4 linked regions of the Oryza sativa Japonica Group genome follow. The protein of the gene in region 1 interacts with the protein of each later gene in a pairwise test. Links are inferred from orthologs where the notes say so. Each region holds a gene or a part of one and is shown in the gene's direction. Other genes may lie near its edges.

Region 1 (7,904 bases):
GAGACGAATCTAATGAGGTATATTAATCCATAATTTGCTACAGTGATGCTACAGTAATTAGCCGCTAATCATGTATTAATATATATCATTAGATTCGTCTCGCAAAATAGTCTAGGGGTTATGGAATCGGTTTTATCGGTAATCTAAGTTTAATACTCATAAATAGTAAGATTTTAAAGGACTATTTAATAGCTCGGAGGATCCAAATAAGGCCATAGATGTGTTGCGAGACTGCTGGTGCCGGTGGTGGAGCAGTAGAGTAGGAGTAGAAACGTGCTGGGGGCGGGGACACGGACAGCAAAGGTGGTCGCTGTCGGCGACGACGACGTGACGCTGCGAGCCTGCGTCGACGAGAGACCCACCCAACCGTTGGTTATCCATCGGTCAGCCGACCGGATCGGCCTGTCGCGTTCTCGGCTCGATCGTTCGCCCGCAGCCACAGCCCCGCAGGTGCCCGTACGTGGCCCATCGCGGCTCGAATCCTGCGCGCGAACAGCGGAACAACGGAAGTTCATGCGGTGCTCCGATGCGATCCTGGGCGCGTGACGATGATCGGCCGGGGCGCGTGCATATGCATGTGCGTCGCGCGCTGCCATCCTGCCTGGCGCATCAGACGGACCGCGGTCAGGCGCGCGGTCCCCGCGCAAGGAAGTGAGGAACAACACCGTGGCCGGTGTTTAGAATCCCGGAACGTTATTTTGAGCTTCAAACCATTTGATCTGGTGTGTGCGTTGGATACCATAATTTTTTCCCAAGCCAGGAGTAGCTAGGAAGTTCTAGGAACAAACATGGAGAAATGGGGGATGTGAACATATTCCGAAAACTATATTTTCTTATGGACAAAATAATCTGAACATGCAAAAAATCGGTGGTCTTGGGACGGACTATTGGTGCCATGATGCCTAACATCGACGTCTAGAGCACGATGCTGCTCCTTCGACTTCGAGTGATTATTCAAAATCGAGAATTGACATATGCCCACCAAGTACGATTTTCAGGTTTGGCACACTGTCTCATTTCAAGATTTCAGTCGCCACGCGTTCACGTTGATTTTATTTTTTTGACAGCCATTTATATTTGACTTAGAAACCATAAACCTTAGGCCTTATATTTAGTTAATAGGTTAGTTAAATAATTTCTCGCTCGTCAAAGGACATCTATAAATCTTAATCATTCATTATTCATTATGTTTCTTCCTTTTGATCATAACCTTCACTCATTTTTCTATTCCAGTCCCACTCTTCTTACCCCATAATCCAAATAAACCCTTAGGATGGGTTCGTTAGTGTTGGTTGACAACCTTCCCCTCCAACATGAAAAACAGAGCAGCTCATTAACATATAATTAATTAAATATTAATTAAAATAACTTGAAAAATAGATTAATATATTTTTTAAAACAACATTTCTATAGATTTTTTTTTTACAAAATACATCATTTAGTAGTTTCAAAAGCGTACACGCGGAAAACGAATGAGAGGAGATGGGAACACAAACTGATGTGACCATCAAGTATATGCATACAATCAAGCATGATAAATATAAAACATCGCTAAAGAATACATCGGATGAATGGATGATCTACAGGATATTAAAGTCCAATGAGTTTTGGAATCAAGTTCACCTCCGAAGACAGCAGTGACTTCAAACGGACCTAGTGCATTCATGCCAACTCTGATTTGAGTGGTCATGGACTTGATGGAAAGCTTATCTCGTCACCTTTCAAACGCATCCGGTCTCATATTCAAATTTATCCCGAGTCAACAGGAATCATCAAAATAAGACAGTATTGTTGTTGAAACCGAACTTGGGCCTTGGGCCTTGTAATAGACTAAGCCCATATCGGAAGTGTCTCCCTCCACCTCCACAAATTAGCAATTAACCCTAGATTTATTTTCGTCTTTAAATGTCTATGTACACCCTCTGTAACAATAGGGTTTTGTTTAGTTGAATTTTGCCAGGTGTCATTCACCTTGGAGAGAATCCCTTATTTGCCACCGGAAATTGGTCTGGTCCCTTGTATGCCATTGAAAATTGGCTCTTCCCTTATATGCCATTGTTCCAAATTTACGCACCCTCTCATGCCACTCCCGTCTGTTGACTGCGTGTTGGTAGTTAACTCTCAAGTAAAAAAGACATGTTTGCCCTTCTGAGTTGTTAGGCATGTCCTAAACTTAGAAGGGCAAATATATCTTTTTTACTTGAGAGTTAACGGTCAACAGGCGAGAGTGGCATGAGAGGGTGCATAAATTTGGACCAGTGGCATATAGGGGAAGAGCCATTTTTCAGTGGCATACAAGAGATCCGACCAATTTTCAGTGGTATATAAGAGATTCTCTCTTCATGTTGTCTCTAGTCCTCATTAGTTGGCGACTATTGATTCAGAGCCCCCAATAGTTGGCGTGTTGATTTGCCGGTTCCTCACTCGATTAGTCAGCGATTATTAATTCAGAGCCCCAATAGTTGGTGTGTTGATTTGTTGGTTCGATTAGATCTACCACTTCAATCACAACTATTTCTCTGTGCTTAATCACTTTTCCGCAATATTTAGATTGAATCTTATCTTATTCTTGCAATGTTCACTCGTTTGCATTGCAGGGATCATCAACCATATGTCACGGTTAGTATGACATCGTTTGTGGTGTACCGATTTGCACGGCGTCCTCGACTTGCTCTGGTTGATAGCTACGTCACAAACGTCACACTGATCAAAGTGAGAGTTATCCTCTCACCAGAAGATCAGGCCATGAGAGAGAGCGTCATCATAAATAAACAAACACAACCTTAGTACAGATAGCTTATGCTACCATCTACTACCTCCGTCCCAAAATATAAGCATTTTTAGCTAAGAACCTGTGCTTATATTTTAGGACGGAGGGAGTACTATCAATATCAGTTCTATCTCAAGATATACTGGTTTAGTTTTTCGGACGTGTTTATATGATAGCTGTGAGTGTATGCCCTGTTCTTTTCTCCAACAACTTTTGGATTAAATTTTGGATACTCGTGGCACGCTTTTCAAACTGTTAAACGATACGTTTCGTGTGAAAAGGTTGTTCTAAAATATCAAATCAATCCGTTTTTTAAGTTTGTAATAATTAAAACTTAATTAATCACACATTATTACCACTCCATTTTGTGTGAAACACTTAATTTTAATCTTCATCTTCATCTTCAGGAGATTCAAACACCACCTTTATTTTCTTAAAAAAACCCAGTTCTATCTAACCGACATTTTACGCCCAGATAGAAATGGGCCTATCCCACACTATTCATCCGTTGGCCCAATACAAATGGGCCCAGCCCACAGCGCCGCATTTGTTTCGACCGCTTCAAGCCTTGGATGCTCTGCTCTGCCCTTGCATTCGGGCACAAGAGGGGTGGCATCTCTGAGCGGGAGCCACGCGCAAGGGTCCAGAGCAAACGCTCCTCATACGACAGAGAGAGCGTGACAGCGCGAGGGGGTTCGGAGGCGGGAGCGGGCGACGGCGGCGGCGGCGGGCGCCAGCGAGCGGCGAAGGGCGCGCTGGAGATGAAGGAGAAGGGGTCGAGGGCGGCGGTGGACGAGCGCTACGCGCAGTGGAAGTCGCTCATCCCGGTGCTCTACGACTGGTTCGCCAACCACAACCTCGTCTGGCCGTCCCTCTCCTGCCGGTAAAATTCCCCGCATCTCCTCCCTTCCTTCCTCCCTTCCGGCGGTTTCCCGCGCGTCTCGTAGCCATCGTCCTCCGTGGAGATCCATTTCGGGCTAGGGTTTTTGGGGGACTGTATCTAGGGTTTTAGGGCGTGGCTCTGCTTCGGTGACTCCAGATCTGTCGCTTGCATGGTGATTTGGCGGGGATGGCAGTGGGGTGAGGATGTCCCGGCCCCGGTTGGGATGTTAGGGTTTTTGGGACGGGGAGGTTTTGTGGGATGCGACTGTTTGTTTGAGTTTGGTGGTGGTGGTGTGTGTGTTTTTTGGGGGGGGGGGGGTGTGGGTCGATTCTTCCGTGTTCATGTAATGCTTGCTGATGCGAGTCTCCCTTCGAGATTTTATGGCTAGTGGGTTGCTGTTCGTCCATTTCTGTCTATATAGTCGATATAATAGGGTCGATTCTTCCGTGTTCATGTAATGCTTGCTGATGCGAGTCTACCTTCGAGATTTTATGGCTACTGGGTTGCTGCTCGTCCATTTTTGTCTATATAGTATATAGTCGATAATATGATTACCTGTTATGTTTTAGAGTTAGATTGTCATGCTTTATCCGTGCCTGTTCTGTGTTGAGTTGTGACATATCATCTTGTAATTCGGTTTAAAGCTGTGCATGTTGGATTCTGTCGTGCTTTTGACCTTCAATAGTGGTTCTGCAACTAACGATTTGATCTTCTCATCATTAATTGTTAACAGGTGGGGACCCCAGTTTGAGAAGGCTACCTACAAGAATCGTCAGCGTCTTTACCTTTCAGAGCAGGCAAGTGCTCCCAAAATAAGTTGTTCTTTTTCTTTCTTTTGCTGTAGGGATGTTTTGAAGCTCAAATTTATGGTGAAGTTTGAATTCAGATATGCAGATGGGTCTTCTTAGCTAGAAAATTTATGTATTCTTAGTTGGATATTAAACTTTAGCATTTGCTAACCATGTGATTGTTGCAGACGGATGGGACTGTCCCTAATACTCTGGTTATTGCAAATTGTGAAGTTGTCAAACCAAGGGTTGCAGCTGCTGAACATATATCTCAGGTTTCCACTTTTTTCAGTGACCCATTTGAGTTTGTAAAATGCAGAATCATGCTACGTTTGAGATGAATGGACATAGCTGGTCCTTTTTGCAGATTTAATTGACCCGAGGTGTCAGCTTCCCATCTTAATGTAATCATTAATCAGAGATGTGGACCTGTAGTACCAACTGATAGTTTACTATGCCTAATCTGTCTTATTAAATTAATAAAAATGTCATAACTCGAACATCTAGATTTGCATGACTTCAGTCTTGTGATAGCGGTGTATGAGACTGCCTTACATTGGCCTTAAAAAGACCTGAATTAGGAATTCCTTGCACTAACTTGAAGTCTGTTTACAATGAAACTGACCGGATGTCTCTTATTTTTTGTTGCAGTTCAATGAGGAAGCACGATCACCTTTTGTAAAGAAGTACAAGACTATAATTCATCCAGGCGAGGTACAAGCTCATTCAATCGTGATTGTTGATTTCTCTTTCCTTAACTTGAGGATCATTGCCTCTGTATGAGATCTTCCATGTTGTGTGGTGCATATATTGGCTATAAACTTTAGTGGTTTAGATGGCTTGCTTTTCTTTTGGAGATAGTGCTTGAGATGTGTCTTTTATTTGTTTAACCCCGTGTCCCCGTCAACATTTATTTAACCCAATCGTTGATGTATTGTTTCTGTTTTACCATGGACACAGGTGAACAGGATTAGGGAGCTTCCGCAGAACAGTAAGATCATTGCCACTCATACCGACAGCCCAGATGTATGCCTAGAACTTTGTAGTGCTGCCCGTTTCTTGTGATCATCAATCCCTAAGCATTTCTGTGATGGATTTGTAGACTGAAGGCTTTTTTGTTCATTTGCAGGTTCTCATTTGGGATGTCGAGGCCCAGCCAAATAGACAAGCTCAACTGGCACAGATGGAGTCTCGTCCTGATTTGGTACCACCTGACTCTCGCCCTGATTTGGTATCTTTTCTTATTTTCATTCTCAACCTATATCATTTTGAGAAGCTGAAATTGCAGCTTCATCTGGTGTATCTGCACACAAGTCCTAAGAAACTGTGTTATGGAATCATAGAATATATTGAAAGGTTTTCATCTTTCATAGTTCGAGTTCCCTTTTCACACTTGTGGCTTAGTAGCTTAAACTGTTTTGACAGATATTAAGAGGACATAAGGATATTGCTGAGTTTGCGCTTGCTATGTGCCCAGCTGAGCCATATGTGTTATCTGGAGGTTAGCAATATTTTGTCTTCTTGTATGTTTAAATCTTTCTAGTTTATACCCCTCACACCTTTTGTATTTATTCACATATTGTTCTGGTGTCAAGACTTTTTTGTGTGCGCATGTGTGTTATCCTTAACAATTACCCCTAAATTATTTTCCGGTTGATATTGTTGACTTTTCATGGTCTTCACCTCTTCAGTGTTCGATTTTGATGTGTGCAAGGGTCCTTGAAGTTGAGAACTGGCTTTGTTTTGTTCTGTTGGATCTTGTACATGTGAGTCAAGATAGGTCCATGCCTAAACTAGCTTGCAGATGGAGGTGACAGCACCATTTTAACGTGCAGAATAACAAAAAGAATAGAGGCCAATCACTAAATTAGGCATATTGATTACTATGTAAACCAGCTGCTAGCTAGCTTGGGTTTGGGCCTAACTTGAATCACTTGCTAAAGTTTATAGACTTGGAAGTTTTGTTGCCAAGTTCAGGGGACACGTTTTTTCTCTCGACTCAATGTGCTGCTGTGATAACTTGGACTTCAATACGAATTGTAATAGGAAAAGACAAATCTGTTGTATGGTGGAGCATCCAAGACCACATATCTGCACTGGGAGATTCCTCGAAAACTGAATCTTCTCCAGGGGCATCAGGAAGCAAGGGAAAAACTGCAAATGATAAGGATAGTCCTAAAGTTGATCCTCGTGGTATCTTTCTTGGCCACGACAGTACTGTTGAAGATGTCCAGTTCTGCCCTTCTAGGTATTGCACCTTCCCCTTCATGTTATTAAATGTTGTCTCTCTAGCATGTGTATATGTTGTTTGGACTATGAGCTTCAGTGGTTTGCATGGCCTAAAGTTTTTGTCTTGGCTAATAGTCGTTCTTTATGATGATAAAACAATAGCAGCTATCATTATTGTGAACATCTGCTGGGAACTTGGAATGCATGCTATATTTTGATATTGTATGATCTATACTTCTATCAATTTATCTTCACAGTTTATTTTTTTTTATTTTTTGAAGTGCACAGGAGTTTTGTAGTGTAGGCGATGATTCTTGTCTTATTCTTTGGGATGCCCGGAGTGGTACAGGCCCAGCTGTTAAGGTGGTGCTCTTCTCCATTTTAAGCAGATTAATGATGCTTTACGTGAAAATGAGCAGCTCAATTCTATGCACCATGTTGAAACTGGTTTATTCTTCATTTCCAGGTTGAGAAAGCTCATGGTGGTGATGTTCATTGTGTTGACTGGAACCTCCATGATGTTAACTATATCTTAACTGGGTATGATGGCATGAAATGTTTCTAAATTCTAAATAATATGTAACATGTTCTTTAGTGTTCATTTGGTACAAGAAGCCGTGGATACACTTCTTGATAGTGGGTTTAGCTATTTACACATTTGAGTAAGATGGTTTCTTTTCGTATTCAGTTCTGCGGATAATTCTGTCCGTATGTGGGACCGGAGAAATCTGGGTTCTGGAGGAGCTGGCATTCCAGTTCACAAATTTGAGGGTCATAAAGCTGCTGTTCTTTGTGTTCAGGCATGTACAGATATTTATTGTTACTATATTTTTTATGCACATTTGGTTACTGTCGTTTATTTTTTTTGTGCCTTTATGCTATAATTCAAACCTTGTGTGTTTCAGTGGTCACCTGACAAGGCATCTGTATTTGGAAGCTCTGCGGAAGACGGCTTCTTAAATGTGTGGGATCATGAGAAGGTATCTTTCTATACAATTCGTTACCATTTCAGTCATCTCTGTCATGGCCCTGCAGAAAGTTTGGAATTGGGATGGGAGTTCATGCTCCATTTGTCCCCTTCATTTCATGTACTTTTTAATAGCTTTAGATTCATAAAATTCTTTTGATGCAGGTTGGAAATAAGAAAAATCCCAACGCACCTGCTGGGCTTTTCTTTCAACATGCTGGTCATAGGTATGCTATCGTATGATGAAATGTAAAATTTTCCTTATGT
Region 2 (6,753 bases), on another chromosome or scaffold:
AACTAAAGACTTGCTTGTTCACCTAAGATTTCTTGAAGTCTAATCATTTTTTATTTTCATGCACTCTACTCTGTGCAGGAGGCATGCTCTCTACTTCCCAAGATTTCTTGCAAGGAAACACATCCGAAGATAGCACAAGTTCTTCTGGAGCGTCATAAACCTGATGTGGCACTGGTTGTGCTAAAGTGCACAGGGCGTGATACCTTCTCTTCTGCTGCTAACATCGAGAAAGATGACACAGAATCTCTTAGTGAGGCAGTGACTGCAGTCCGTGTAAGAATTGAGTATGGCCATCTAACAGAAGCATTTATGTACCACAGGAGCTACTGCTCTAAGGTAAAAGAGCAAAGGTCTGCAGATATGTCACATGTTGAAGATGCTAACAGTTACAAAAGCTCTTGGATGTACCATGTTGAGGTCATGATGACCGAGTTTTGTAATATCTGCATCGAGAGGAACTTTGTTGATAGAATGATTGATCTGCCTTGGGATTCTGAGGAAGGGAAACATCTTCATAAGTCGCTCCTTGACTGTGCTCGTGAAATGCCCATGGAGCCATGTGGTAGTCTACTTGTTGTTTTCTACCTCCAGGTAAAAAACCCACCCACCCTACCACCACCACAGAGAGAGAGAGATAGAGTTCCATTACAGGAGTTACTCATGTGCGTGCAACCTGCATAAATTGGAGTACAAATAGAAAATTTTCATCTAAGTCATTGCTCATATATTTACCAACTATTTACCTTCATTTTGAGTGCTAGGTACATTGAAGGTATGATAAAAGTAGTTCGAATTCAAAGTGTTAAATCATAGCATCTGCTGCAGTGGCAGCTCTTTTTCTTGTATATGAAGTAGTTTATGTTTACTATTGGCATACTCAGGCTCAAGATAGAAAAAATGATGCTAATGAGTTCCTACATTCAGAAACACTCTGTGTAACTGAATGATAGATATAGCAGAAGATTGATCAAGGGTGTTTGAAGGGTCTATAATCAGTTAACATTGTTGCATATCACCCAACTTCTGTACATCAAATTTATGCACGGCGTTCTAATTTTTGTAGTGTAACAAGATTATATTACTACAAGGTGATACCATCAATCTAAATAACAGCCACAAACTGCTAAGATATGCACAATTTTCTACCTTATTATAGCAAGGAACCTTCAGAAGGTGAAACTGAGGATATTTTTTTTCTGCTTCTTCTGTTAGCGTTATCGGTATTTGGAAGCATATGAGGTCGATCGTAGTCTTCAAAGCTTTGAGCAGAATGCATTGGAAACTGCTAGTGAAGAAAAAGCATCCAAAATCAGAACAATTGCTCAGTGGAGACAAAGTTTGGTTGTAAGTGCTTAGCTTTTACACTTTGATTCTTTTGACGTGCCTATTTAAATTCTTATTATTCTGGTAGTCATGCCGCATGAGTTGCTGGGGGGCTCTTCATAATTCTAGTGATTCTACCATGCCATAAAATGTATATCCATACGTGATATACTGTAACTACTGTACTATACACTTTATTCTGGATCAATGGAAGAAGCCTAATAATTTTTCAAACATATAATCTGCTCTATTGCTTGTCTGCATATTGTTTCTGATATGCATATGCTAATATGCAACACTTCAATATTTTTTTCTTGTATATGCAGACTAAATGCATTGAGATGCTTCCTGAGGCTGAGAGGGAGGATATGAGAACCATTGGCAGTGCAGAGAGAAACCAATTTGCTGTACAAACTATGCAAAACTCTTCTCCAGCTAATCACATAGTCAAATCACCAAATCCTGTCATTGCATTTAGCTTATCGGCCACCCCTATTCCTCAGAAGAAGTCAAGCCCTCTCCAATCAAGAAATATCAATGTGTTGAATGATTCTGTTGGCCTTAACAGCAGTGCCCGTTCAGAGTTTGGCAGAAAGGTTCCATCTATCCTCCAATGCAGACCAGTTCCCCTGAGTTCACCTATATCCAATGTGAGATCAACTGCAGGGGGTCTATTCCCCTCCATGGGACAGAATGGTGAAGGTCCATATTTAAAGGGGACTAAAGAACTCAGTTTTACGAAAGGAGAGTCTGGTTTAAAAAAGGGAACTAGACCTGCTGGTTATGATTCACTCCCTATGTATTTCAACATGGGTTCTGTTGATACACCTATGAAGGAGTACCGATCAAGTTTGTTGAAGACTGAGGTTAACAAAACCACTCCTTTTCAAGTAAAAGATTCTGTCGGAAAGGGGGAGTTTGACTTCGGTTCACGTGCTGAGAAACCTTTCATCTTAAGTGGCACAGGTGCTGGTCAAAATGGTCACTCAAAGATATCCGATAATGCTGGTTTTCATGAGGTTCACATCCAGAAAACAAAAGTACCTCCTAAAGAGAATGTTCTCAGGTAATCATGATTCTGTACCTTGACAATCTATTTCGTACTTTAATTCTGATGTCTACCTGTTGGTAGCTGACGCTGTAGCTCATGAGATATAGTATGATGTAGAATCAAAGGTCTATAGATGAACGGCTTCTATTGACTGGTACTAATGAGTGGTCTATGGTATATACCCTTGTTGAAAAGTTATGGCCCATGGGTGGTTCCTACTGTGAACCATTTTTTTTCCAGTGCAGAAATGCTTCATAGATTTGGAAATAGGCACTAAGAACGCCAGGTTTTACTGTTCATTGTTTTCATTTGATTTTTTTTTAAAAATAGCTAGCTGGTTAGACTATCTGGAACCGACCGTAATGTCTGGTTCCCAACGGGATTATGGTCCCTGGTCTGTATTGGTTCTCTCCCATTTGTGATACCTGCTAGTCCACTGTTTTCCAAGACAATCACAAGGAAGCTGGATACATCGATATTTTGTAGGGAACCAAACACTTATAAGCTATACTTGTTTGAGAGTCAAGAACTTGGCCAGAGTACACCTAGATCATTCATAGATTCCCTAATAAAGGTTAGGTTTTAGTTCTTTTCCCCCAGTGATTTTGGAGTATTGGATATTTGCCCCAGCAGCCCCTTAACTGGCGGTTGCCTGAACCACAAATGTGATGCTATGGTAAATGGAATGTTATCACTACACAATAGTGTTTTTTAAATCAAATTGTTACACAATAATGTACCGTGATCTTTTATATCATGTGCAGCTTTGGTAAGAAATCTTCAGTTGATGAAGCACCACCTGGGAAAGGTGTGTCAAGGTGGAGATCCGATGAGTCTAGTGAAGACGAAGATGATAAAAGAACAAGTGGGTATATGGAGAGTGGAGCTTCACTTGCTACTCGAAGACGAGCCAGATTTTCTAGAAGATGATATATTCCATCTGGTCCAGGTGTTTTGATCGCGCGCAGGGGACATCTTGTCGAATTCTTTTCCAGACATAATACTTACACCCCAAATGTAACTGCGATTTGTTTGAGGAAAGGTGCAACTTACCCAATGTCTTGGGGGAAAAATTGTGGCAACTATATTGCAAAATTTTGGTGTGCCATGGCCGCAATGATGTATTGTAACTAAAGTAAATCGATATGTGTGTTGCATCAAAATAGTTTGGCATTTAAAGCTCACAAGTTCTTTATGTTTACTCTCTGTTCCTGTGATTTTAGCACATCAGAAAATCCCGGAGAAAACAATGAGTATTATTGGAGAAAACAATATACTACTACCTACGTTTCAGGTTATAAGACTTTCTAGCATTGCACATATTCATATAGATGTTAATGAATCTAGGCACATATATATGTCTAAATTCATTAACATATACTCCCTCCTTCCAAAAATCTGAGTCATATTTCTTTTTACAGCAAGATAAGAAGCAATTAATTCATTTACCAATGATAAAACCAATGAACATGTAACCAATAAGTATTAAAATGGTTTCTTGGGTTTCTATCAACAATTTAATTTAGCATATAATGGCTATAAATAGGACTTAGACTTTTGGAAAACCAAATAATAAAATAGGTCTCAGAATTTTGGAATGAGAGAGTATATGAATATGGGCAATATGAAAGTCTTATAATATGAAACGGATAAAGTATGTACTATGATGGCTGCCATCTACTATCCTTACTTTGCTGAGTATATGCTAGTTTTTTTTTTTACATTATATGCTACTCCCTCCATCCTATGATATGAATTTTGTTAGGATGTGACACTCCCTGTTTAGATTCGTAGTACTAGTATGTGTTACATCCCACCAGAATCACTTATATTATGAGACGGAGTGAGTAGTTTGCTGAAACGCAAGAACATACTCTCTTCATCTCTCCCTTCCAAAATACTGTAACCGGATCTTCATCCTTTCGTCCTACAATACAGTAACCGGATAGAGTAAAATAAAGTGATTATCTCCTCGGCAAAATCTAAAAATTAGGAGGGTCCAATCATCCAATTAAATCCAGTGGCTCATCCATTCTTCATTTATATTTAAAAGTGATGATACATTGAACCATAGAAATGGGAAATGGCCGTGCTGCAGAAGATGAGGTCGGATCAAATGCGGGACCGGGTTGTTGAAGAACGGACAAGGAAGATGTCGCCGTCCTTTTGATATGTGTTTATTGATAAGCCGGTCAGTTCATCCGTACAGTATTTGGTTTTCTTTTCTGTGTGCTGGGCGAACGGCTTTTGCCAGCAGCTTGTGCATCGTAACCATTTTCTGTGGGCTGCTTCACGCCTGCTAATTATTGCTGACAAAGGAATTTGTTCCTTTTTGTTCGGTAAGGCAACCCACCAAAAAGAATAAAAGATGATGAAATGGTAGGTAGATAAATTAATCCTTAACTCCGCTAAAGATTAAAAGATGATGTAATGGTAGGTAGATAATTAAGCCTTCACATTATAGATTCTCATTGATTCGCTTATGCGCTGAAATTAAATTTTACAACCTTTGAATTTGATTTCTTTTTTTTATCATAGTTTATTTTACAACATTTCCTTTTAAGTTGCTAAGAATACATATACTCACAAATAATTTTTTTGTACTCTGATCTGATTGATTGAGTTCTGTTGATAGGGTTTGATGCCTCTCAAGTTTCAATTTGCTGATGGATGTACCGCTGCGGTATTTCTCCTGCTGTGTGCGGACGAGTGGATGACTGGCAGCAGCGTGGGTTGCGCCACGTGAGCTGTGCAAATTGCTGTGTGGTTGTGCCACACATGAGTACTTTTCCTCCGTCACATTAAAACCCGACTTAGAATTAGGATAAGAAATAATATAGTATAATAAATATGGACATAATTATTATGTTTATATTCGTTGTACTAAATAATATCTCATCATAATTCTAGGTCAGGTTTTTTTGACGGAAAATTTTCAAACGTACCGATATCATTTTTAATTTTTTTTAAGAAATTACATTATTTTTACTGTAAAATTTAGTTTTTTTAAAAAAATATGTCAATACTATATTGAATGACATTTCCTGAAAAATTAATACAAAATGATATTATTTCCAAATGTCTTCCAGTTGTGCGATTTGCTCGGGGTTCAGCTAGCAAGGACCTAAAACTCTCTGACATGTCGATGACAAAATTGCTGGGGGCGGCGCGAATCGCAATCGGCGCCGGTGTCACCGTATCCATCCGTTGAAGTCTATGGTTATCATGAGAGAATGAGCCGTTTACTTCCCTCCAAAGTTGAAAGTTTGGGTTAAAATTAGTATGATATAACTGAAAAATTGAAAAATTATATATGTATAACATATTGATGTGATGAAAAAAGTTAGAAGTTTAGATCTAAATACAGCCGAAGACCCAAATTCGCACCAAGAATGTCTCTGCATCCCGTCCCGTTTGATTCCGCCGAAGCGTGCTGCATGCCGCGTTCCGCTGCATCTAAAGGCCTACGATGAGGTAGCGTACGTGTGCCGCATGCACGCGTCCTAGCCTCGTACAGCCAAGAGGGATGGGTGTCCATCGCGCGGGACCAATGTTTGAGCGCATCCCAAAATATGTATTGCTTTTTTTTTCTAATCTTTTCGATGAATTGGCATGTCTGTATTTTTTTTTCTAAACTTTGATTTAATTGATAAGATGCTAAATTTGTGATTTCATCTTATCGACCTATATTTTTACAATTTTCACTAAAATAGTATTCTTTTTTTAAAAAAAATTCTAGAGTACGCAGTGTCACAGTGAGACATGTGACAGTGATCGGGCCGCCACCAAATAGAAAAGGTGAACTAATCCTAAAGCACTTAGTGGGCAGTGATCCAACCCCCAACTTGACCAGTGTCGAGCACAAAAGATGCAGGAATCGTAATGAATCCGCGGGACCACGGCCGGCATGGACCCATCCACAGCTAGCTAAGAGCAAGTTCAATACTGTAGCCAATTACTAGCTCCAAATCATTTATAACCAATGTAATAGCCAATTCGTATAATAATCAATTATTATACTATTAATACCTGGTCCTACCTGTCATACACACATTATGTCTTAGAGTCCGTACTGTAGCTGGCTACAAATATGTAGCCCGCTACTATTCTCTCTCTTTCTTTATCTTTTTAAAATATGTTTATAGCTGGCTTACAGCATGCTACTGCACCTTCTCTAAAAGCAAGTTTAATAGTATAGCCAACTACTGGCTCTAATTTATCATTAGCCAATTTAATAGCTCATTCATATAATAGTTACATATTATACTATTAATACCTGGTATCACTTATCATACACACAGTGGGTCTTAGAGTCCATACTACAGCTGGCTACAAATATGTAGTCCGTTGCTCTTCTCTCTCTTTATTTACCTTCTTAA
Region 3 (6,812 bases), on another chromosome or scaffold:
GCAGTGTTTCTTTTGCTTTTGCTGTTTCATCCGCTTTATGCTTCTTAGTGTTCTCTTTGCTATTGCGTGATTTTGTGGAGCAGCAAGCAAAAAATCAGACTGAAACATGTTTTTGATGAATTGTTTGTTGATATGAATTTAACAGTATATCTCATATGACAAACTTCTATTTTTCTAAATAAGTAATGCAAAACATGCATGGTCACAGTTACAATCCAGCATACTTTTAGTTTGGAGAGGTAGGGCATCTTAAGGTTTGTTGAAATATAAGATTTTACAATCTTTCGTGCAGGAACCAGCGGATGCAAGAAGACCAATCTGTACTTGGTCGTCGAAGGATTTACTATGATACAAACTGTGGCGAAGCTTTAATTTGCAGTGATAGTGAAGATGAAGCTGTTGAGGACGAGGAAGAGAAAAAGGAGTTCAAGGATTCTGAAGATTGCATAATTCGGTAAATATGCTTTGGACATGCATTTGTTTTCTTTTGCCTTGAACATTCACTAAGGATGCTCAACTTGTTTGACCGTTACAGGCTCATGGGACCAAGATACAGGTGCAGTTACCATAGCACCTGGAGCTTGGGCTCAGTCCATAGAATAACAGATCTGATGACTCTGTAGTAATAGTTTCATGGAGAAATGCTTTCTTCTGTAAGCATTTTGTCATATTCTCTGTTTTTCTTTTGACTGGGAAAACTACCAGGACTTTGCCTAGTAGTGTAATTTCATTAAAGAATAAAAAATAGTAATATTCTCTTTTTGAAGTCACAATATAACATAGTACAGAAGCAATAGAGAAATGATATTAAATATACTGGTCAAGTAACATTTGGTATGAAATATTCCCAAGAGATTATTTAGTAAAACTACATTATTAAAAACTTGTAAGAAAAAGGGTTTGGTTTTGGGGCATATGTCTTATATCATTAAATGAAATGGTCATTACCAGTTTTATCTACATTGTTCCAGGGGAAAACCTTGAGCTGGTCACACTGCATATTTGACCTGGTTTTGTTTTGTGCAACCCTTGCACAAGCAAGAAAAGTATGGTTACAGCATTAATCTGAGTTGTTTGTGGATTAATTTAGACCTTAAACATCATAGATCACAATAATTTGGTTTCTCCTGTATGGAATTCTTCCACTTAAGGGTGATTTTGTGCAATGATTGCCAGGATGACCATTCAAGAATGTGGCATGTCTGATGCTGTGCTTGAAACTCTAGCTCGAGATATCGAAAGGGCTCCTGATGATATAAAGGTTCATACAACATTTATTCAATCTCACGTCACATTTGCATTTGATCCATTTGGGATTTTCCTCTTCCAACTTATTGTTTCATTTCTGAAAAATTAAATTACGTGTCTATTTTCCAGGCCAGGTATGAGATCCTACAAGGGGAGAAACCTGAGGGTTCTTCCAAGAAAGTGTCTGAACTTAATGTCAAAATGGAAGACGTGTACGGTGATAAAGATCTGGATGCAGCATTGGATTCCTTTGACAATCTCTTTTGTCGCCGATGTTTGGTACGTTTTCTGTTAATTGTCATGTGTGTTTTACATAATATCTCTGGTTTACTGATGAAACATTCTGCTCATTTTGATGTTGGAAGGTTTTTGATTGCAAGCTACATGGGTGTTCTCAAGATTTAGTATTTCCGGTAATTTTCAAACCAATGAGTTATTTCCTAAACTTGTGTGTTGTTCTAATTAGTGTCCTTTTCGTATAGACTGAAAAGCAGGCACCATTGTGCAGCTCGGATGAGGGTACACCATGTGGTATTCACTGTTACAAACTGGTCTGTATTTTATAGGCATATGACTGTGGAAAAGCAGCTCTTCTTTTATGATGATTTAGATATCCGAAACATAAGCATATGCCGTTTTGCTGATCTTTACCTCATTTATAATCTTTTTGTCAGGTCTCTAAACCAGATGCTATCATGGAGATTGATTCTCATTTGCTTGTTGATGTTGAGGAGCCAACATCGGACAATCTAAAGGATCAGATAGGGTCAAATAAGAAAAAGCTTGGTTCTAGTGGGCAGAAAACAAAATCTCAACAAAGTGAAAGTTCTTCAACTGCAAGGGTTTCCTCAGAAAGCAGTGAGTCTGAAGTACAACTGTTAAGCAATAAATCCCCGCAACACTCTCCTGGCCTCTCAAAAAATAAGCTTGGCGCAAAAGGTGGAATCAAGAAAAGTACTAACAGAAGAATTGCTGAGAGAATTCTAATGAGTGTGAAAAAGGGGCAACAGGAAATGTCACCGGACTCTAATTCTATTGTTAATGGATGCCATTGGCCTAGGGATATGAAGCTTAGATCTGATACTAGGAGTGGAATTAAGGATTCTGTTGTATCCTCACAGTGTAATTCTCCAAGCACAAGGAGTTTTAGAAAGAAGGGCACACTTCAAATGGAGAATAACTCATCTTTTGTGGATGCTCAGAGTGATTCAATGGAGGATACAAATAATGAACATTCAGCAACAGATGGTTGTGATAGTTCAAGGAAAGAGGAATGTGTTGATGAGAGTATATGCAGGCAAGAAGCTCATGGCAGGTCCTGGAAAGTGATTGAGCAAGGGCTTCTATTGAAAGGATTAGAGATTTTTGGAAAGAACAGGTTGGTCCCTTGAAATGATCAGCTTCATATGAATTATTTCACTACCTTCTACTTCATCTTAATATTTGTATACTATTGCACAACTAACTGCTGTATCTGTTCAGGACAGAGTAAACGTTAATGTGTCTAATCCCTCCGTCCCAAAATATAAGGCGTGCTTTGACTTTTAATTGTCAATTTCTCACAAGTATACTGTCTATACTCTATAGTGGAACCAACATCATATGAAAGTACATTCAAATATGAATCTGACAATACCATTTTTATATCACTAAACCTATATATTGTCAGACTAGTTGTGAGTCAAGATTTGTAAAATTTGAATTTTAAAATGCGTGCACACCTTATATTTTGGGGTGGAGGGATTAACCTTTCAGTTCAGCACAAGAAACTGACTATGCTTTCTTTTAATATATCTGTATTACTAAAAGTATTCAACACAAATGTCTATATTTAAAGCAAATGCTCTTGCATCATAATTAGACATCCCCGAAACTATATTCTTATACTACTACATTTCAAGTAAAAGCTGTAACATGAAGATACAATCTACAATTTGTCATGCATAACGTATTGGAATGCGGAATTAACTGGAATTTCTAATGTTTGCATCATTTAGTATCTAGTTGTGTTAGTTATAGCGTTTCATGTACAAGAAATTCTGATGTATGTTCATTTCAAATGCCTTAAAAACTCATTCCTGTTTTCTTTGGATGTCTTGCAAGCATATTGGAAATGTTCTTTATCCTTTCTATAATGAGTAGAATACCTTGTTTTCCCTAATTTGAATAGTCATACTGAGCCCTTGTTTTTCCTATGTTGAAGTTGTTTAATTGCTCGGAACCTTCTGGGTGGGATGAAAACATGCACAGATGTTTTTCAGTATATGAATTACATTGAAAACAGCAGTGCATCTGGAGCTCTTAGTGGTGTTGATTCTCTTGTTAAAGGATATATGAAGGTAGGATTCATCATAAAGCTCATTTACTTGTATTTTCCCAAGGTTTCATCTTACTTTAATGCTTGAACTCCCAGGGTAATGAATTACGGACAAGATCAAGATTTGTGAGAAGGCGAGGAAGGGTCCGCCGTTTGAAGTACACCTGGAAAACTGCAGGCTACCATTTTATAAGGAAAAGGATTACAGAAAGGAAGGATCAGCCTTGTCGACAATACACTCCTTGTGGTTGCCAGTCTGCATGTGGGAAGCAATGTCCATGTCTCACAAATGGTACCTGCTGTGAGAAATACTGTGGGTGAGCTACTTCAATTATTCATATTGCAGACTCCGAGAACATTTTTTCTTCTAGATATTAATAATGTTGCTTATGAAAACAAAACTGTGTAGATGTATACAATTTCAATATTGTTTGGTTAGTGCCGACCAATTATGTCGTATGATCACATCTTAGTTTTGCAATCATTGCTGCTTACTGAAAAGGAAAGGAAAATAAAACCTAGGAGGAACTAGGCACCCTTTCAATTAAGAGGAAAACAGGCACCAAATTTCTAGTTGAAGAGGACTTGAACCTTGATGGTGGGAGAGTGAGGGTGTAAACTCCGCATTTCTCACCCAAATGGTGAATCAAACACATGCTTCTCTTTTGTTCTGTGTGCTCTTTTGGCTATTAGCTATTACTTATTTTGATAATTTATAATTTTAATTGGAATAAATGATGCAAACACATGGAGTGCAAATGTTTGCTGTCCGCATCCTGCTGATGCAAGTTGAAGTAATCCTTTCTGCGTTGCAGGTGCCCGAAAATGTGCAAGAATCGCTTCCGAGGTTGCCATTGCGCAAAGAGTCAGTGTCGCAGCCGGCAGTGTCCATGCTTTGCTGCTGACAGGGAATGTGATCCTGATGTGTGTAGAAACTGCTGGGTAGGGTATGTATTTTAAATTCTGATGACCCTTTGAATGATTTTGCTAGTTAATGCACATTTGTATATCTTAGAGAAAGGCACCAACTATAATGTGCTTTTCATTCTTTGCACTTCTCCAACCTTACATCTACCTTGAAAGTTGAGAAATTACCACCTATGCCTGCACTTGAAGGATGGAATTTTGATGGATGATGGATTTATCCTTAAGTGCAGGAAGAATCTTGCATATGTATATTCCAGTATCTGAAGATACGGAGTTCTGCAGTAAAATATCTTAATGGTAGAATTGAATTTAATTAATATAATCATATCAATTGCTTGCCCAACAGTCCCAATAGGCAATAGCTACATTCCACAATTAAAAAAATGGTGCAATAATAATAATTTGACATTTCCTTCTCATACCATTTGCTAGCATACTTGATAGTGTGTGCCAGCACATTGACAATTGATATTCTATATCTAAATTATTTATAACAATATCTGAGTTTTATAGGAGTGTTTACCAGGAGTTAATCCATGAAAAATGTATCAATGATGGGGGAGTTTAATTTGAATTTGTTATGAACGAGCTTCTAATGGTAGGAAATGAAATTTTAGATACTGTAAGTTGTTAGGCAAACACCAAAGATGAGTATATTATCCGGCCAGTGTGTAAATCCAATCATGATCCTTTTTCACTCCATGGAACCTTAAATATGCTTTCTGTTATTCATTGTTGAAATAGTCTGTTATTCAATTTCAATTACTGTTTCTTCATCCCTAATTTTTCTAGAACAAAGCGCCAGTACATTGAACTTCTATTTTTCTACCTGTACTTTCTATTGTGCAGGTGCGGTGATGGTACATTGGGAGTCCCTAACCAAAGAGGTGATAATTATGAATGCCGGAACATGAAACTGCTGCTTAAACAGCAACAAAGGGTAAACCTTTTGCACTTTGATTTATTCATGCTATTGCACCTTGGTTATAATTTCGTCAAGCCTATCGATTTTTTATGCCTGCTTGGCCCTTCCATTTGCCTTTATTCGATGCTTTGATATTTTTGTGTGAGGAGGCTTGAGGTCTAAGTTAATTACCCAGCAGTACTTCTCAATAGTTTTATTCTTTTTTTTTAATATTTTTCACGTGAGTTCAAATTCCAGTTGTCTAAATACAAAAGATCTTAAGTTTAATACCAAAGAAACTAGTTAGAGTAACTATATTCCAAAACAGGCAATGAACTATGAACCAAAAAACTTCCCATTAGCAGGAAAATAATTGCATAAAGTATCTATCGATTATGTTGGTGAATTTATGAAACACCAGGGGGTGTTACTTCATTTTCTATTACAGGTCCTATTCCATCTCTAAATATCTGTAAATAGTATTGACTTGCTATGTGCACTCTTCAGGTCTTACTTGGGAGATCTGATGTTTCTGGCTGGGGAGCTTTCCTCAAGGTAAGATTTCTCTATTGACCCTTTTCCTCCCTCATAGGACGTACCCTCATCTAACTAGTCCTTTTCCTAAATCTTCAGAATAGTGTTGGGAAGCACGAGTATCTTGGCGAGTACACTGGGGAGCTTATCTCCCATAAAGAAGCTGACAAGCGTGGAAAGATATATGACCGTGAGAATTCATCGTTCCTTTTCAACTTGAACAATGAGGTGAGTGCAAAGACACCCCGCAAATTACGGTCTGCAAGCATTCAGGATTGCATACTGTACTGATTTGACTAGCCTAATGTCATCCTTTTGCGTGAACCGAGTTGTTTACATCCCCAACCCACTGTTGTTCAATATCGCGCGATTTATGATCCGCTGCAGTGTTTTCGCTGTTTTCGCCAGTACCGGATGCTCACTCACTCACTTTACCCTCTCGATGAATGCAGTACGTTCTTGATGCCTACAGAATGGGCGACAAGCTGAAGTTCGCCAACCATTCCCCTGATCCAAACTGCTACGCCAAGGTCATCATGGTAGCAGGCGATCACAGGGTGGGGATCTTCGCCAAAGAGCGGATCAGCGCGGGCGAGGAGCTGTTCTACGACTACCGCTACGAGCCCGACCGGGCCCCGGCGTGGGCTCGCAAGCCCGAGGGGCCCGGTGCCAAGGACGACGCCCAGCCTTCCACCGGGAGAGCAAAGAAGCTCGCCCACTGAAGAAGAAGAAGAAGAAGAAGATCAGCCGTTGATTCTTTTGTTGTCTTGGTTGATTCTTTCGTTATTGGTGAGGGGGACCGAGAACTCTGACGGTGATTAGCGCCGTAAGGAAAACTTTCCTGCCATTCGTTGGCCCCCTCGATTCGATTCGTTGATTTTC
Region 4 (7,968 bases), on another chromosome or scaffold:
GGTTTCGAGCTTCAGCTGCTAAACGGTGCACGCTTTTCAAACACTCCCCTCTCGTTTTCCGCGCGTACGCTTTTCAAACTACTAAACATTGTATTTTTTTAAAAAAGTTTCTATACAAAAGTTGTTTAAAAAAAATCATGGTGATATATTTTTGAAAAAAAATTTAGCTAGTACTTAATTAATCACGTGTTAATGAACCGCTCCATTTTCTGTGGATAGGAGATAGTTCCCAACACCCACCTCTAAACACAGCCTGATCATGCTTATGTCTTATTATAAGCCATAAGCGATTAAAATGGATATATAAGTAAAAACTTTTGTATATACTATGTTCTTAGCGATTTAAAAGTTAAAATTTTCAAAAAACATCAAAATCAGATTCAACATTAAGTTTTAAAATTTAATTTTTGGCTTTGGCTTATAAGCCATAAAGTAAACAACGAGGCCTCAAACGCCATGCTAGAGGTTTGAGCGAAGTCTTCTTGGGCTAGGTTTGTTTCTCAGCGTTGGGAACACATTTTCAGCGCACGAAAAACGGAGCAATTCATTAGCGCGTGATTAATGGAGAATTAGCTATTTTTTTTCAAAAATAGATCAATATGATTTTTTAAAGCAACTTTTGTATATAAACTTTTTGCAAAAAAAAGTACCGTTTAGCAGTTGAAAGCTATGTGTAGCTTCGAAGAAATGAGGAAGAAATGTGAAGAGATAGTGTATACAGCGGTGGAAGGAGTGTGTGAGGATGAGGGCAACTGACCAGGGGAAACCGCCCAATGAGCACTTGGAGGTGCCACCGCTGCCACCGAGGAGGACGGTCTTGGTTGAATCCGGCGAGCACTTGGGAGAGCCGTTGCTGTCACAAATGACTTGGTTGACCTCGTCGTCCCGCGAGTTGCACATGCCCGAGCAATCTCATTGACATCATCAGGAAATCAGCGAGCACTGGTAATGACCAGAGAGGCATAGACCGCGATGAGTAAGGGTGATAGTCAGCAACGAGGAGAGGGCGTCGGCGGAGGAGCAGTGTGATTTTGGGGTGGAGCGCAATGCAGCGATTGAGTAGGAGACGAAGGCGTACGATGAAGGGATTTAAAGATCAGGAAAATAAGCTGATCTGTGGATCCAATGACTTATTTATAAATTATTTTCTTTGTTGAGAGGGATTTATCTTAAAATGTGTAATATTGTAAAATTTTATGCAGTGAAGTTAAAGAAAGATGGAGTTAATATATAATGTCAACTTTGGGGCCATCTTAATAAGCTGCATTGCATTAATCTGATGGATCGTAGCTCCATAAGTTTCTTCTTATACGTTTGCTTAGGTGGAGGTTGGGCCTATAGGCTGAGGACATGGTACATTACTCATGTCCTCACCCATGCATGTTCATCCACGAATAGAGACAGCGAATATCTTATCCACGTCTACTTTTCTCTCCACCAACAATTTTCGTTAACTTTGCTATTCCTTCTCTCGCATGCCTCACCTTGCAAAATTGCTTCTCCTTCGATGCAGCAAGCAAAACCACTGGCCCTAAATAGCAGCAAGCACACGGATATTTTTTTTCTCTACTTTGGTGAGACGATGACGACCTATGGAGCCTTCTTCTAGAGCACACATATTCGCGTATTAGTACAAGTATAATAAGGTGATGCGAGTAGAATATAACATTTGTCACATCAAAATTATGCTTAAATGAAAAAGAGAGAAAAAAACATACTCCCTCCGTCCAAAATATAAGCATTTTTGGATCTCGTCACAGTCTTCGAGATGCTATTTTAACCAACAATATCTATAAAAGTAAAATGTTTTAAATAAAAATAGTTGTATATTAGTATGATAGTTTGTTTAATAGCATCAATTTTATATAATTGATTTTTTTGTTCTTTTGCTATTAATAGTTAAAGTTAAAAATATTTGACTTGCTTATATTTTGGGATAAAGGGAGTCCTATAATAGTATAAATTTATAGTCAATTGTAGCATGAGCTCTAATAAACTGTCAGATAGAGAGAGAGGGGGTGGGCATTTATACTCGCTATTACAATGATCGCTGCTTGGTGTTTATTTGTAATGAAGACGAAGATAAAGTTAAGGATACGGAAAAAAAGTATTAGTGCATGGTAAATTGAGTTTTTATTATTATAAATTTGAAAAAAAATGATTTATCTGATATTTCAAAGCAACTTATATTAAAAAATTTCGCAATGAATATATATTGTTCAACAGTTTAAAAATGAGTAGTACTTATTTAACGGAGTACTATGAGCCTGTTTACCACAGCTCCAGCTCCAATTACATCTCTCCTGAAGCTAGATCCACTTAAAATAGAAGTAGAGCTAGGTGGAGGTCTCTTACAAAATAAACTAGAGAGGTGGAGCTGAGTTTTGACAGCTCCATAACTCTATTTCAGATACAACTCCTAGATCTAAATTTTAGAACCACGTAAGGAGTTCATACTTCAGAACCTCTAGGTTGGCCCACCTACTGGCATTGGCCAGCTTACCACTTCCAGGTGGGCCCCGCTTACTGACACGCGTTCCACTTCCAGATGGGACCCACCTACTGACACACTCTCGCACTCACCCAAGGCCAGGATGACCACTAATCAGAGGAGAGGTGACACGTCTCCCTTTTTCTTTCTTCCCCCGCTCCATTTCCGAATCGTCGTCTCGCCTCCACTTCCGACTTCCGAGTCGTCTCGCCTCGCCGGCGCAGGATGGCGGCGGCGACGACCGCCGCGGCGGCGGCGAGGGTGGGGCTGCTGTACGACGAGAGGATGTGCGCGCACGCGACGCCCGACGGGGAGGAGCACCCGGAGAACCCCGAGAGGCTGCGGGCCATCTGGCGCAAGCTCTCCGCCGACGGCGTCGCCTCCAGGTATACGTATACCCCCACCCCCCGCCGCTCGCGGCGTTTTTCTTTTTTGTCCTTAAGGACTTGGGAGAGTCGGATCGGAGTAGCGTGATTTTGCTGGGATCGGCGACGCGCGCGGCGGCTTCGATGCTCTCATGGTTCGGCCGAATTGTTGTGGTAGGGGAGCCGCGGCATGCCTGTAGCCATTTCCGTTCAGTTCTAGCACGGAACCTAGGGTTCGCGCAAATTTTGTCTCGAGACGGTATGTGTTGGTGAATGGTGACTCTAATTGTGTACTTAGGTAAAAACATCCCAAATGCTAGAAGTACCCGAGAAAATCAGGGGGGGAGATGTATTGGTACAGGCTGTGGCTTGAACTACAGTACTGAAGCAATCGTAGCAAACTTGTGTGATTTACGCTGCACAGCAACTTTGATGATACTTCTTGGTTAAGCTTAAACATTAGCATAACAACTTAGGTCACTTAACTTTGCTCATTGCTTTGACTGGCTTATAATTTTGCTGCTGGCAAAGCTTCCTTGGATGTAATGTAGCATAGTTTTCTCCCAGGTGCATGATCATGAAAGCGAAGGAAGCTGAGGACAAGTATATAGCTTCTGTCCATAGCCAGAACCATATCAAGCTGATGAGGAGTATCAGCTCAAAAGAATATGATTCCCGTCGAAACAAGATTGCTAGAAAATTTAATTCCATTTACTTCAACAAGGGCTCCTCAGAGTCTGCTTTTCTTGCAGCTGGTTCTGTGATTGAGGTGATTCAACATTTGACATGAACATTTATTGTGTAGTTGATTGCTCTTTCCTTGTGCTGATTGCTCTGCAAAAAATAATCAACTCATTTGGCAAATAGGTAGCTGAGAAGGTTGCTGCAGGAGAGTTAAGTTCTGCTATTGCTCTAGTCCGACCTCCAGGTCACCATGCTGAACATAATGAGGCAATGGGTTTTTGCCTCTTCAACAATGTAGCAATTGCTGCTGATTATCTCTTAAATGAGAGGGTATGTTGTTGAAACTTGCCTATTTTTTTAGTACCAAAATCTGCTCTCCTTTTTTTTTTCCCTTCGTCATTTCCTATATAGGAACAGGAATGTTTTTATCAGATGCAGTTGAATGAGAAGGTGAACTCATGTTCCTATTTGCCTTTTTTGTTGCAGACTGACTTAGGTATCAAGAAGATATTGATTGTCGATTGGGATGTTCATCATGGAAATGGCACACAAAAGATGTTTTATAGTGATCCTCGTGTATTGTTCTTTTCAGTTCACAGGTATGACAGCCTCTTGACATGGACTTTATAGTTTTTTTTGGGTCTTTTTAGTAGCATCATTACTTTCATGACATGATACTATGATAGTACTAAGTAAAGTCATGGCAGTTTTGTTGCCTTCATTCTGGAGGTTTACCGCACTTTGAATGGTTGTACTACTTTGCCAAACATATCTTTTCCCCTATGGAAGCATTGAATGCTTCTAATTAATATAGAAATTTAAGGGCACTCTCTGTTATTTCCATGGTCCTAACAAACCCGTTTATAATGGACAGATAGTAAATGTATTATTTTTCCTTTAATGAATAGGATTGAATCCCGCATTCCACCAATCCACACTGATTATCGTACATTATTGCTCTTCGAATGAAAAGAAAATGGCATCACCCAAATAATATCTGTTGCTGGATGACATGGTGCACATTGAATAATTTAGGCAGCATTACAGAAATGTAAATGCTTAAGTCGAGTTTTCCCCAAGGAATCTTTTAGAGCAGTTGTAAACATTAATTGTTTTGCTTTGGTCCTATGGCAAAGCTAGAGATGTACTGGTTCAGAAGCATAATCAATTGTATGTCTGATGAGAACCTATTCATTTTAGTGTATGATGCTTGTGTCCTATGTTTCTTTTGTAGATTTGATTATGGCAGCTTCTATCCTGCTGAAGGGGATGCATCTTACTGTTTCATTGGGGAAGGAGATGGTAAAGGGTACAACATTAACGTGCCCTGGGAACATGGAAAATGTGGTGATGCAGATTATATTGCTGCATGGGACCATGTACTACTTCCTGTTGCTGAAGCATTTAACCCTGATATAGTCTTGGTGTCTGCTGGGTTTGATGCAGGTATATAGTTTAAAAGTTCGTAGAACTCTTTTGTGCCAGCAACATACTAACTTTAAAAAGAAACTTATAAAATAAAAATGCAGCCTTTTGTCTTGAATGAAACTGTTTATATAGTGTTAATTTATAGCTTCTCAATTTTATCTCTATGAGCTAGTTGACCGCTGCTTGTGCTAGTAGCATAGTGCAGCTTGCAACCTATTATATCTGATTTCGTTGTGGAATGATAAATGAGATCTTTGCTGCAGAAATATTGAAAAAAAAATCTCTAAGAGTTTGTTTTATAAGACTGTTACTACATGATAACAGAGCCTAAACTTCTGGTATATCTAATACAGTACTAGATCATATATGTGCCGTTGTTCGCTAGTTCTGATTTTTTCTCTACACTGATATTTTGGGTAGCACTGGGTGATCCTCTTGGTGGCTGCTGCATCACTCCCAATGGATATGCTCTGCTACTGACAAAGGTAAGCACTTGCAGAAAAATAACATTCAGTTAGGCTTTCACCACGCCATGCATTTTCCTGTCTCTAAAGGAATAACATTCAGATCAGCTGGGTTAGGTTAATAATATCGAAGTTTTCCAACACAGCAACCAGAAACTTTTTATGTAACTTTTTCCTTAGTAATTTCTTATTGGTATTCTCTGCTGTTAGCTGTTAGGATATTTTCATTTGATCTCTTCCAGTTACTTCATATCTCTTTATGTCTACTGGGCTGTGCTAAAATTATTATTATTATTATTTTTTAAAAAATAGTAATATTTAATTCTGTATGTAAAACCTGCAGCTCTTAGGTTTTGCCCAAGGGAGGATAGTGATGGCTCTTGAAGGAGGCTATAACCTTAGATCCATAGCAAATTCAGTTAGTGCTTGTGCTAAAGTTTTGTTGGGAGACAAGTTCAGATTTGACACTCCTGATATGCAACCGTTTGAATCTTCATGGAGAGTTATACAAGCGGTAATGGTCTGCTTACATTAATTGCTGTCTGATTCCTTACTGTGGATATCTGTAATTATGTTTCCTTCCCCCACACCACTGACCAGGTACGTGATGAATTGAAGACGTTCTGGCCTGTTCTGAGTAATAGATTGCCAGAGAATATATCATTGAGGAGTAGGCCCTCACAAATTGAGGTAGATACTTATTTTTCTTATCTTAAAGACTTTTAACTTGGGATATTCTTGGTCTAATCCCAGATTAATTTGCTCTGACATAAGATGCACCATCGCTTAACCCTGGATTTACTTGTGTTTGCCAGGAGTTTGGCACCCTTTTCTTAGCACTTAATTTATATAGACATGTAATAACAATAGTTGCAGGTTGCACTGTGTATTCATGATGACTTCTGCTACAAAAACAATTGTACTGTAGCTTAACTCCAAAGAAAAATACATGCTGGGCTGTATCAACTCTGTTATGCATTTCAATTGATAGGCTACTTGCTTACAGCCTGTACTTTGATGAACTGTTTAAAAATGCTTAAAAAATACATCATGCATAGACCCATATCCTGGAGATGCTTCATGCCTCTCAACTCTTACAAAGCACAGTTACACTGGTCGACTTTATCAACATCATGCATCTTAATTTGTATTGAGTTAATGATCTTGGTTTTGATTCATTAACATATTTGGCCTGCTGCATGGTGGCTTAATGTATAGCTAAGACAAAATTGTAGGGAAATATCAACATTGTGTTGCCCTTGACTAATTCACCTTTTTGTTTCCCCCCACTTTTGGTATGATCAGCTGTATTCTTCTGGTTCTGACTCTGAAGTTGAAGATCTCCCTGATGCTATTGCTTCTGTCAATATTATTCAAATTACTTATGGTATTATAAGTGAAAGCCTCTCAAAGTTGAACCTTGATGAAGACAAAATCGCAACAAAGACCACCTCAAGTAATGTAATGGTTGAAGGTCCAACTGATTCAGTTGAACCACAAAATGATGGATCTGCTGCGGTGTCAACTGAAGGAATATCATCTCTATCTTCTACTTGGAGATCAGAACTGTCAAAAGTATATGTTTGGTATGCCAGCTTTGGTTCAAACATGTGGACACCAAGGTTTCTGTGCTACATCCAAGGGGGAAAGGTAAAGTGAAAACGTATTCTCCTAGTTTTCCTATTTTTGATAAGCAGCATGCTCTGCATGATGGATTTGCTATTTATTTTAATGTTGGACAGGCTGAGGGTATGAATATACCATGTTTTGGATCTCATGACACAAGCCCACCAAGAGGTTCCATGTGGAAGACTGTGCCTCATAGATTGTTTTTTGGTAGATCCTCTACTCCTTGCTGGGGAACTGGTGGTGTTGCTTTTCTCAACCCTGAGATAAACCACACTGAGAACTCCTATGTCTGCATGTATAAAATAACGTATGTATGTTGTAGCATCTGCCTACCTGTTATCAATCTTTGAGTTAGGCACTGTGGGGGTATGATCTTCAGTTAATCTTCTGGATCTCATCATAATTTGCCTATCTTTTTTGTACAGGCTCGAGCAGTTCAATGATGTATTGTTTCAAGAGAATCGTTTAGTGAAGGAGAACGGCGAAAGTGGAAAAACTGAGTCTCCTGACTCTCCTTTGATTGGCTTGTCTGAAATAGAGTTTGTTTCCAGAAACAAGGGTGTCCACCTTGCACCTATTAAGGTTTGATTTAACTGCAACAAGCATGCTCTTGTTCTTGCAACTATTTAACTTTGAATGCATAGCCGCCATTACAAACATCATTGTTGGGTGCTTAGACATAAGCAGCATGCTGATAAAAGGCCTACCAAATGCGCTCAGTTCACCATGACCGCATCTGCCACTTGTGCCCAGATGACATTTTTATAGAAGTTAGTGGTGTGCCAACTGTTAATGGTGAGTTGGTTATAGCAAGGAAATGCCAATTACCTCTTAGTGCTGTCAGATTTTTCTGGGCTTTGAATTGTTTGTATTTCCCGGGAGCTAGTCTAGACCAAGAAAATTCCGC

The links.
Region 2: the proteins of WD-40 repeat-containing protein MSI4 (region 1) and E3 ubiquitin-protein ligase HOS1 interact in a two-hybrid assay, tested with the Arabidopsis thaliana proteins (2 studies listed by BioGRID, with this or other methods). The link is inferred for Oryza sativa Japonica Group from reciprocal best matches to the Arabidopsis thaliana genes FVE and HOS1.
Region 3: the proteins of WD-40 repeat-containing protein MSI4 (region 1) and histone-lysine N-methyltransferase CLF-like interact in binary tests that used the Arabidopsis thaliana proteins (3 or more experiments, as listed by UniProt). The link is inferred for Oryza sativa Japonica Group from reciprocal best matches to the Arabidopsis thaliana genes FVE and CLF.
Region 4: the proteins of WD-40 repeat-containing protein MSI4 (region 1) and histone deacetylase 5 interact in a two-hybrid assay, tested with the Arabidopsis thaliana proteins (2 studies listed by BioGRID, with this or other methods). The link is inferred for Oryza sativa Japonica Group from reciprocal best matches to the Arabidopsis thaliana genes FVE and HDA05.

The regions. Positions count from the first base shown.
Region 1 is NC_089035.1:30,086,028-30,093,931, forward strand, and holds the start of WD-40 repeat-containing protein MSI4, read left to right. Parts: upstream 1-3,304; 5' UTR 3,305-3,342; coding exon 3,343-3,653; intron 3,654-4,386; coding exon 4,387-4,450; intron 4,451-4,629; coding exon 4,630-4,716; intron 4,717-5,092; coding exon 5,093-5,155; intron 5,156-5,401; coding exon 5,402-5,467; intron 5,468-5,570; coding exon 5,571-5,672; intron 5,673-5,866; coding exon 5,867-5,942; intron 5,943-6,487; coding exon 6,488-6,689; intron 6,690-6,951; coding exon 6,952-7,033; intron 7,034-7,136; coding exon 7,137-7,210; intron 7,211-7,358; coding exon 7,359-7,470; intron 7,471-7,575; coding exon 7,576-7,650; intron 7,651-7,802; coding exon 7,803-7,864; intron 7,865-7,904. UniProt on the Arabidopsis thaliana protein: Core histone-binding subunit that may target chromatin assembly factors, chromatin remodeling factors and histone deacetylases to their histone substrates in a manner that is regulated by nucleosomal DNA.
Region 2 is NC_089037.1:31,094,796-31,101,548, reverse strand, and holds the end of E3 ubiquitin-protein ligase HOS1, read left to right. Parts: intron 1-78; coding exon 79-591; intron 592-1,212; coding exon 1,213-1,344; intron 1,345-1,649; coding exon 1,650-2,389; intron 2,390-3,138; coding exon 3,139-3,304; 3' UTR 3,305-3,575; downstream 3,576-6,753. UniProt on the Arabidopsis thaliana protein: E3 ubiquitin-protein ligase that mediates ubiquitination and subsequent proteasomal degradation of the transcription factor ICE1. Acts as a negative regulator of cold signaling pathways.
Region 3 is NC_089040.1:9,531,135-9,537,946, forward strand, and holds part of histone-lysine N-methyltransferase CLF-like, read left to right. Parts: intron 1-292; coding exon 293-454; intron 455-1,176; coding exon 1,177-1,261; intron 1,262-1,377; coding exon 1,378-1,527; intron 1,528-1,613; coding exon 1,614-1,661; intron 1,662-1,730; coding exon 1,731-1,799; intron 1,800-1,922; coding exon 1,923-2,626; intron 2,627-3,451; coding exon 3,452-3,587; intron 3,588-3,661; coding exon 3,662-3,882; intron 3,883-4,380; coding exon 4,381-4,512; intron 4,513-5,341; coding exon 5,342-5,432; intron 5,433-5,903; coding exon 5,904-5,951; intron 5,952-6,029; coding exon 6,030-6,158; intron 6,159-6,382; coding exon 6,383-6,652; 3' UTR 6,653-6,812. UniProt on the Arabidopsis thaliana protein: Polycomb group (PcG) protein. Catalytic subunit of some PcG multiprotein complex, which methylates 'Lys-27' of histone H3, leading to transcriptional repression of the affected target genes, mainly abscisic acid (ABA) responsive elements.
Region 4 is NC_089041.1:24,814,252-24,822,219, forward strand, and holds the start of histone deacetylase 5, read left to right. Parts: upstream 1-2,647; 5' UTR 2,648-2,716; coding exon 2,717-2,877; intron 2,878-3,423; coding exon 3,424-3,625; intron 3,626-3,723; coding exon 3,724-3,870; intron 3,871-4,026; coding exon 4,027-4,139; intron 4,140-4,774; coding exon 4,775-4,986; intron 4,987-5,388; coding exon 5,389-5,453; intron 5,454-5,775; coding exon 5,776-5,946; intron 5,947-6,032; coding exon 6,033-6,122; intron 6,123-6,737; coding exon 6,738-7,082; intron 7,083-7,174; coding exon 7,175-7,368; intron 7,369-7,486; coding exon 7,487-7,643; intron 7,644-7,968. UniProt on the Arabidopsis thaliana protein: Responsible for the deacetylation of lysine residues on the N-terminal part of the core histones (H2A, H2B, H3 and H4).